2 linked regions of the Oryzias latipes genome follow. The protein of the gene in region 2 binds, or shares a complex with, the protein of the main gene of each other region. Links are inferred from orthologs where the notes say so. Each region holds a gene or a part of one and is shown on either strand. Other genes may lie near its edges. The genes, in order: chrac1 and baz1a.

Region 1 (4,527 bases), on a different chromosome or scaffold from region 2:
GCCGATAAATCTTGCTTCATATTGTATTGATTGTGTTAAATACAGAGATTTTGTAGCGTCATTGAACATGACGCAACTGCTCTACTTGTAATTCTGAAAAGAGAAAAAATAAAAGAAAAAAAGTTCAATTCTTTTCCTTTTTATGTACATATGTAGATTTTTTTTCTTTTTTTCTGAGAAATATAAATAAAGATGTAATTTACAGCTGACAGTGACATTATTGTATCCTCAAAATTGAATACAAACAATTTCTCAACATTCAGAAAATTTTTATGAGTCACTTGGACATGAAAAAAGTGGGGTTTTATTTTAAAAAATGAATATACATAGGGGATGTTTTTAAGATAAAAATATTCCCCATCTACTGATGGGGTTTGGGACACATCTTCAGCTTCTTCTACAATATGCAGACATTTGTTACCATAACCACGTCGTCTTATAGGTGGTTAAGTCATGTCAGATTACGTCTTAGAACAGGACATTAATGCTGGACAACAAAGCATTTGTGGAGTTGTGTTTTAAGGTGGTAGCGAATGTTTTTGCCGCAATTGTGTGTAATGGATTTCCAAGTTTCACTTCAAGTCCATGTACATATTTTACTAAAGCACGGTAGAAAATATGAAGCCAACTATCAAAGCCAAATAAAATAATCTTTGCTAAAACCGTAAACTTACAGCCAAGTAGATTTGTCTGACGCTGAACAGTGTGAATAGTAACATTTGCTTAAATTAATTTCAGCCATTCTTAAAAGACATTGTGTGGCATCTATAATTGAAAGTCTTCATTTCTAATCTTAGAATTATCTTAGTTTAATATTATTTCCAACAAAAAAAAACAACAACACATGAGCTGATCTTACTTAAAAGCAGTAAATGTCTTTGGGAAAGCCCCTTTTGAGTAAAAAAATATTCAAACAGATTAGCTTATTCCTATAAATCCGCATCTTCCTCTTGCATCTGTTCCAAAGACTTCAAGTAATCCCGAGCCAAGATCTTCTTGGGCAAAATATCTGTCAAATAAGAGAGAAAAAAAGTTAAAATCCACATGTTAACACCTTCATTACCCATCCTTCTAGGGTAAAAGCCGAATGCCTTCCAAGCCATTAGCTCCCTACACATGGAAGAATATGCACCATTTGAGAAAAAAGCAAAGACTCAGTGTTTTGTGATTATCTGTACTTAATTACAAATAGGGATTCTGTTCCCACCCATAATGCAGTTATTAATGGCTTAGAAACCCTGTCCAAACTGTGGATACCCCTAAGACATGAGTAGTGTAATACAGGATTAAACTTTAATACCCCCCCCCCTAGAATATCAATTATTAACTTAACAAAAGGTATACTATCTTAGCTTTAATAAGTTTCTGTAATGTTTTATTAGGATTTCACATTAAAAATGTCCTAGTCAGTTAGGGGGGTAAAGTTCTTGAAAAATTATTTTATATTGTCATGAGTTCAAAGAAGATATAAACTAGCACAGAAATGAGGACATTTGTGTTTTGTAGATTTACTAATTGACTGGTTTACTAAACAAAAGTCTTATAACTGCCATCTTGGTTGACCTGCTTTGCAGCCTGTCTCTGACATCTCTAGTCCTATCAAACTTGACCTTTAGTTTGGAGATGGTTCCGGGCTTGTTTTTGTTTTGTTGTTTTTTTTATAGAGGAAAAAAAGCTTCAAGTTGCCCTCTTGCATGATCTCAACAATCAACAGATCTGTTCAAATGATTACAACAGAAACCAACGTGTCATTAAGCAAGACCAATAACCACAGGTGCTGCCAATTATGCACCTGTGGTTACCTGAAGCTCAAAATAAGTCAGTAACAACTAAGACAATTAACGATTAATTGACTTTATAGATAAATCCATTTATCTTCCTATGATCCAACCAGATTGATGCATCTGGGGCAGGTGGTTAAGCGAATTGATCTATGCCATTATAAAATAATTTTAAAATAAAATAAATTGATAATATACTGGTATTGGAAAATACCATTTGGATTTTACATTATCATATAATGTAAAAATGACTGAGTGGATTGTTGGAAATGATCAAGCAATCATTACAGTCCAATGTGTGGAAACAATTTGATTTTTGCAAAGATGTGTGGCCATACAGAATGGTATGATGTTCTAATAATGTATTATTTTGATGTGGAAAAACAACAGTGGGCAGAACTTTAGGGAAAAAATGTGAATGGATTTGCCCTTAATTCTTGTTTACTTCTTTGTTTAATCACATATGTAATTTATAATACTTGATTACCTTGCAAGAAATACAAGGAATCTGTAAAACTACATCGCCGAGTCACACTGGTTGAAGATTTGGCTAAAGAAGTCAATGAACCGGATTGTTCAAAATGAACCAATATCCACTACGAACCACTTATTATGATATGAATTGAATCATTGTTGAAATGTTTATATGAGCTGTTATGTGAGGTGTGCAGTTAATGTAAGCTGTTTAGCTTTAAAAGTGAAGTTTTGGGAGGTATTGTAAAAGTCCAACTTTTAGACTGACACACAAACGCATCTTCTTCAATATGGCATCGTGTATGGGTTTCCAACACTTTAAGAATAACTCAATACAAAGGGATGGAAGGTTGGTGTCTCACCTGTGAGAAAGTGGAAAGTCTCGGTCTCTTCTGCGGTTTTCGCCAGGTCGCTGTATGACAGCGAGTTCGATTCCTTCCCACAGCCGTTATTGAACGAGGACCGAGCCAGGTGCTGGACGAACAGCTCCTGCAACAACACAACCAAGAGAAATGCTAACGATGCTAGACACTCGAATGAACGGAGCTAGCATGAAACTGCAGCTTACTGTAGCCTTGGTGGTGAGAAAGAGAGCGTCTTGGTTGATGCTGGAGACATCTGGAGAGCTTTTCATGATCAACCGGACTCTAGAGATGGGCAGAGAGATTGTCTTTTTAGCGTCTAACGCGGGGTCGTCTTTTTCTGGACGGTTTTGCGACATTTTTACGAAGCTGTTGCGCGACACAGACAAGCAGAACCACAACTATTGTTGTGGATACGCTGCTGGTTTCTTCCTCGTGTTCATTTGGTGTTTGTCAGCTTTTCAGATGATATAGCGCCATCTACTGGAATGGAGTGGAGTCAAACTTTTTTCTTTTTCTTTTTTTTAAATCATGGATTGTAAAAACAACAATGTAGCTCATTAATATTTCTATTGCGCTTTGATACTAGACTTCAAGTGGTATAAAGCACTACTTAATAAACACCTGTTAAGCTCTTGTGTTTACACCACTGAAGCTCCCAAAGGAATTTTCCTAATTTTCTTCCTTCTAATGCCTAGTTTGTATAATAAACAACTACCATAGAAAAATGATTTAAGACTTTCTTTGGCAAACTGATTACATTTAGGGATGATGTTGAGCTGATTCAGAAATTTGTACGGTGTTGCCATGGAAACCGCCATCAGAATAACTGACCAAAAATATAAACGCAACACTTTTGTTATTGCTCCCATTTTTTAATGGTATGAACTCAAAGATGTGAAACATTTTCCACATACACAAAATAACCAGTTCTCTGAAATATTGTTCACAAATCTGTCTAAATCTGTGATAGTGATGAGCACTTCTCCTTTGCCAAGACAATCCTTCCCACCTCACAGGTGTGCCATAACAAGATACTGATTAGACAGCATGATTATTGCACAGGTGTGCCTTAGACTGGCCACAAGGAAAGGCCACTCTGAAATCTTCAGTTTTGTTTTATTGAGGGGACTCAGACAACCAGTCAGTCTCTGGTGTGACCACCATTTGCCTCATGAAGTGCGACACACCTCCTTCGCATAGAGTTGATCAGGTTGTCTATTGTGGCCTGTGGAATGTTGGTCCACTCTTCTTCAATGGCTGTGCGAAGTTGCTGGATATTGGCAGGAACTGGAACACGCTGTCGTATACGCCGATCCAGAGCATCCCAAACATGCTCAATGGGTGACATGTCCGGCGAGTATGCTAGCCATGCAAGAACTGGGATGTTTTCAGCTTCCAAGAATTGTGTACAGATCTTTGCAACATGGGGCCGTGCATTATCATGCTGCAACATGAGGTGATGTTGTTGGATATACGGCACAACAATGGGCCCCAGGATCTCGTCACGGTATCTCTGTGCATTCAAAATGCCATCAGACGCCATCGCATGTGAGCTTTTGCCCACTTAAGTCGGTTACGACAACGAACTGGAGTGAGGTCGAGACCTCGATGAAGACGACAAGCATGCAGATGAGGTTCCCTGAGACGGTTTCTGACAGTTTGTGCAGAAATTCTGTGGTTATGCAAACCGATTGTTTCAGCAGCTGTCCGAGTGGCTGGTCTCAGACGATCTTGGAGGTGGACATGCTGGATGTGGAGGTCTTGGGCTGGTGTGGTTACACGTGGTCTGCGGTTGTGAGGCCGGTTGGATGTGCAACAGAAACAGCTCTGGTGGACATTCCTGCTATCAGCATGCCAATTGCACGCTCCCTCAAGACTTGCGACATCTGTGGCATTGTGCTGTGTGA
Region 2 (3,819 bases):
GATGTTTTGGAGAGAAAGAGACAAATTTGACAGATAAGTCCAGAAAGAACATTTACATTTGCTCTGATATCACAGTTAAAACCCGAACCTCTTGAAAAATCAGAATCTGAACTAAGGTCCTCATGCTTTGGGATGAAGAACGGCGACACTTTCTGTAAAAACTAACGTCACAAAGCAGAGATGAAGCACAGGAGGTCGCTCTTCTGCATCAGCTAAGTCTCTATCAGACAAAGATCTCAAAGCAGACTGGAGTTTCCAGATGTTCACGGTCTTCTGAAGAAGCACAAAGAAACATTGAGGATTGCAGACGCTGTGGTTGGCCAAGGAGACTTTGTGCAGAAGATGAAAGACACATGAAGCTCATCAGCTCAGAACTGGCAGAAACCAGTGAAACCCAAATTTCACCCATCTACTGCTAAGAGAGGCCTGGACACGGAAGAGATGCAAACGGAAGGAAGCTTTTTCTTCAACAGAAGAACCATAATGAGTCTCTGAAGGAAACCTTGAAGCACGCTGGAGGTTTGCGTTTCCATACATGGAAGAGGAGTTCTCCACGCTGAGAAAACACAGTTTACCCGTCATGCACCGTCATCACAGAGGTAAAGACTGGCCCTAAATGTATTCCAAACATCCAGCCGAAGTCGTTAAGGACCATCTTCATACTAAAGTTCTGGAAGTGATGCCATTTCCCCACAGAAATGGCATCACAGAAGGATCCGTCAACGTCTACATCCACAGAAGATCTGGGTTTGGAACCACCTGCCGGCAGAGTTCCGTCAAAAACTGTGAGGAAGTCGCTTTGACCATCAAACACTGATCTTCATTTGGATATTTATTTTGTTGCATTTTGTGGAACCTAACAAACTTTAAAGCCCCCCCCACTACTGCTGCATGGAACGTTTGAGGAGCATCGACCTGCAGGTTTGAGCAGAACCGTGATAATTCTGCTGCAAAACAACAAGAAGAAGAAGCAGACGGTGGATGAAGAAACACAAAGGTTCAATCCCCCACAATCACCCGAGCTGAAATGAGGAAGAAGAGTTTGCAGCTCGGATAAAAATCACTTTTCTTCGCTTCTCTTTCTGTTTCAGCCATTCTGCTGAAACCGGATCATTAACTAATAATGAACAATTACTCATCGCTGCTAAAAAACAAAATTCACAAGTTTACAATTTGATATGATCCTGAAGTCAATTAAACTTTGTCACATTTAATTACAAAATAAAGTTTAGCTTATGAAAATAAGGTTTTACATAAATATCATATTTAACTGAACAATCAAGACTTTAAGAATATAATAACTATGTGCAAAACATTTTTTGTTTGTCAAAAATAACATTTTTCAGAAGAATCACCTCATTCGTTTGATGAATCAAGGTTGCTTTTTTTAAATCCATTTTTTAAATTCCAAACATTTGCATTTCTTCAACAAGACATAGAAAGAACAAATCTGGATGTGCGCGTACCTGTCCAGGTGAGGCGCACACTCCACCGTTGGAGGAGGGAGAGCTGAACGGGACCTGGGGGGGCTCATCGGGGAAGAACTGGGAGAAGGTCTGTTCGGAGAGCTGGTACTTCTTAACGGTGGAGGCCTGAGACGGGAGGACACATCACTCAGAACCGCTGTTCTGACGGTTCGACGGGTCACCGTCCTGACCTCTGACCTCACCTTGAGGATGATGAAGCCCCTCTGAGGCTCGCAGTGCTGCTTGTAGAGCAGCTTCAGCTTCTCTCTGGACAGAGTGGACTTCCTGCGACTGAAAGACGGGGATGAAGGTCAGCAGGCAACTTTGACCGGGGCGTTAAATTTTAACAAAAGAACTCAGAGAAAAGGCCGGCGAAAACCCTCGACTGCATCTGAGACTTTGGGCGAGCGAGTGTGATGTCATCCATAGAAATTAAGTCAATTCTGTCGTCGTTTTTAGTTTTGGATTTTGGACTTTTGAGTTATCTGATTGGTCAATTTATAACTGGAATGACTTAAACTACGGAATAAAATATCATGAAAAAAGGAGGATAATCAAGAACGTGTTGATAGAAAGGTATCAGAGCAAGAATTGTTATTCTGCTCCACAGCTGTTTCAGCACGTACTTCCTGTTTGGAACGCCACGGGGGGAGGAGTCACTCACTCCAGTTCATAGTAAAAACAAGCAGGAAAAAAAAAACTCCAGCAACATCATTTAACGGTTGCTGCACAACAAACTGAGGTTTTGCTTCTTTTGTTCCGTTTTCTTCAGGAGAATACGTTTGTCGTATTTTTATCCAACGTGAAAAAACTAAACAAACTCTGGATTTTAGAGGGAGCGTCTGCAGCCCGACACCAAAGCATCAGTGCTCCAGTTTATCAGTGAAACACGCTAAACCAGCTGGAAACTAGCGCTGGGCGATATGGCCTAAACATAAGATCTCAGATTTTATTTTTTTAAATTCGATTTCCGATTCTTCCCACTTAAGGAAAGCAACAAGTACAAACGACAGACAACTTAAGTTAAAGCAAATTTTGCTTTTATGTAATCAAACGCAAGACAAATGTAGCCCCCATTTCTGGGATGAATACTAAAATGATCACACTCTAGGAAACAAAGTCCCAGCTGTGTTTTGAGTCACACTTTGTAGTCTAGACTAAAAGGAGACAAACATTCACCTTGAGAGTAGCACCATTTTCTAAAACAATACAATTCATATCTGGGGGCTAAGGTTTTAATTAAACTAATAACCCTCGTCTTCTCCACGGTATATATGGGTACCATTTGCAAATGTGTCCCACAAGATCTTAACTTGAGCTGTGACGGTGTGGGATTTTTGATCATCGCGGTGATGAAGCAGCAGGAGTCGATTGAGTTTTTCGTTGTTTTTTTTGTTTTTTTAAATCGCCTGTAACAAAATATTCTAATTAATTCATCCAATCGATTTTTCGCCCAGGCCTACCAAAAACCAGACCATTCAGACTGCAAACCCTAGTTTGCATTTGGATCGGTGGTCACAGAACCTCTCTGAACCGGCAGAACAAACTCCAGGTGAAGCTCCTCACCTGATCTGATTGGCTTTGACGGTGAACGGCTCGCTGTGTTTGTCACTCATCATCCTCACGGTGTATTTGAACACAGAAGGACTCAAAGGCTTTTTTTTCCTGGAAAACAAACGCAGAGTTCAAACTCAAACCAGCATCTGATTCTCATTTCATTAACCGAAACTCAAATAAGGAGGAACATTTATTTTTCAAAGCTGGTTTTAGAGTTTTATAGCAGCACAGAATCTGCCTGACTGACCCTTTGACGTGTACGACGGGACTCTGGAAGGCGTCGTCCTCCTCATCGCTGTCACTGATGACGATGGTGTCCACCTGAGATGGGTCGGTGTGGCCGTTGGTGCCCGTTGCTCCGTTGGTGGGCGCCACTCCGTTGGCGCTGGAGTAAGGCGAGTGCACCTCCAGGATCTCACACATGTGCCTGGAACACAAGATTCAGTTCGGTGTCGGTGCCGAGGTTTCGGAGGTCAAACTACCAACCACAACAAGAACAAACAAAAAAAAAAAAAGTTTTCCCAAAAACACAAAGATTAAAGAACAAGAACACCAATTTCTTTATAATTTTCAGTCACAAACCGACAAATACGGTGAACTGAAACTAAAGCAGCATCTGTTACTATGAAAACTGTGCAGCCTGAAAAGCGATGCGGCACTTCCCCAGTGCGTACCTGGCCCCGTTGCGCCGGCTGACTTCCACCACCTCCCCGGGAAAAAAGCGGTCCTTGACGAAACCGTAGACGTCCTCGCAAAGCTCCACCAGTCGGCTGCGTTGGCTCATCGCAGCCAGGTG

Evidence for each region.
Region 1: baz1a (region 2) and chrac1 share a complex: the UniProt entries of both Homo sapiens proteins name them as parts of the CHRAC ISWI chromatin remodeling complex. The link is inferred for Oryzias latipes from reciprocal best matches to the Homo sapiens genes BAZ1A and CHRAC1.

Annotation. Positions count from the first base shown.
Region 1 is NC_019869.2:23,126,552-23,131,078, reverse strand, and holds chrac1 (chromatin accessibility complex protein 1), read right to left. Parts: upstream 3,064-4,527; 5' UTR 2,977-3,063; coding exon 2,824-2,976; intron 2,745-2,823; coding exon 2,618-2,744; intron 1,010-2,617; coding exon 930-1,009; 3' UTR 255-929; downstream 1-254. UniProt on the Homo sapiens protein: Forms a complex with DNA polymerase epsilon subunit POLE3 and binds naked DNA, which is then incorporated into chromatin, aided by the nucleosome remodeling activity of ISWI/SNF2H and ACF1.
Region 2 is NC_019880.2:2,513,470-2,517,288, forward strand, and holds part of baz1a (bromodomain adjacent to zinc finger domain protein 1A), read right to left. Parts: coding exon 3,698-3,819; intron 3,451-3,697; coding exon 3,271-3,450; intron 3,132-3,270; coding exon 3,033-3,131; intron 1,758-3,032; coding exon 1,670-1,757; intron 1,593-1,669; coding exon 1,467-1,592; intron 1-1,466. UniProt on the Homo sapiens protein: Regulatory subunit of the ATP-dependent ACF-1 and ACF-5 ISWI chromatin remodeling complexes, which form ordered nucleosome arrays on chromatin and slide edge- and center-positioned histone octamers away from their original location on the DNA template to facilitate access to DNA during DNA-templated processes such as DNA replication, transcription, and repair.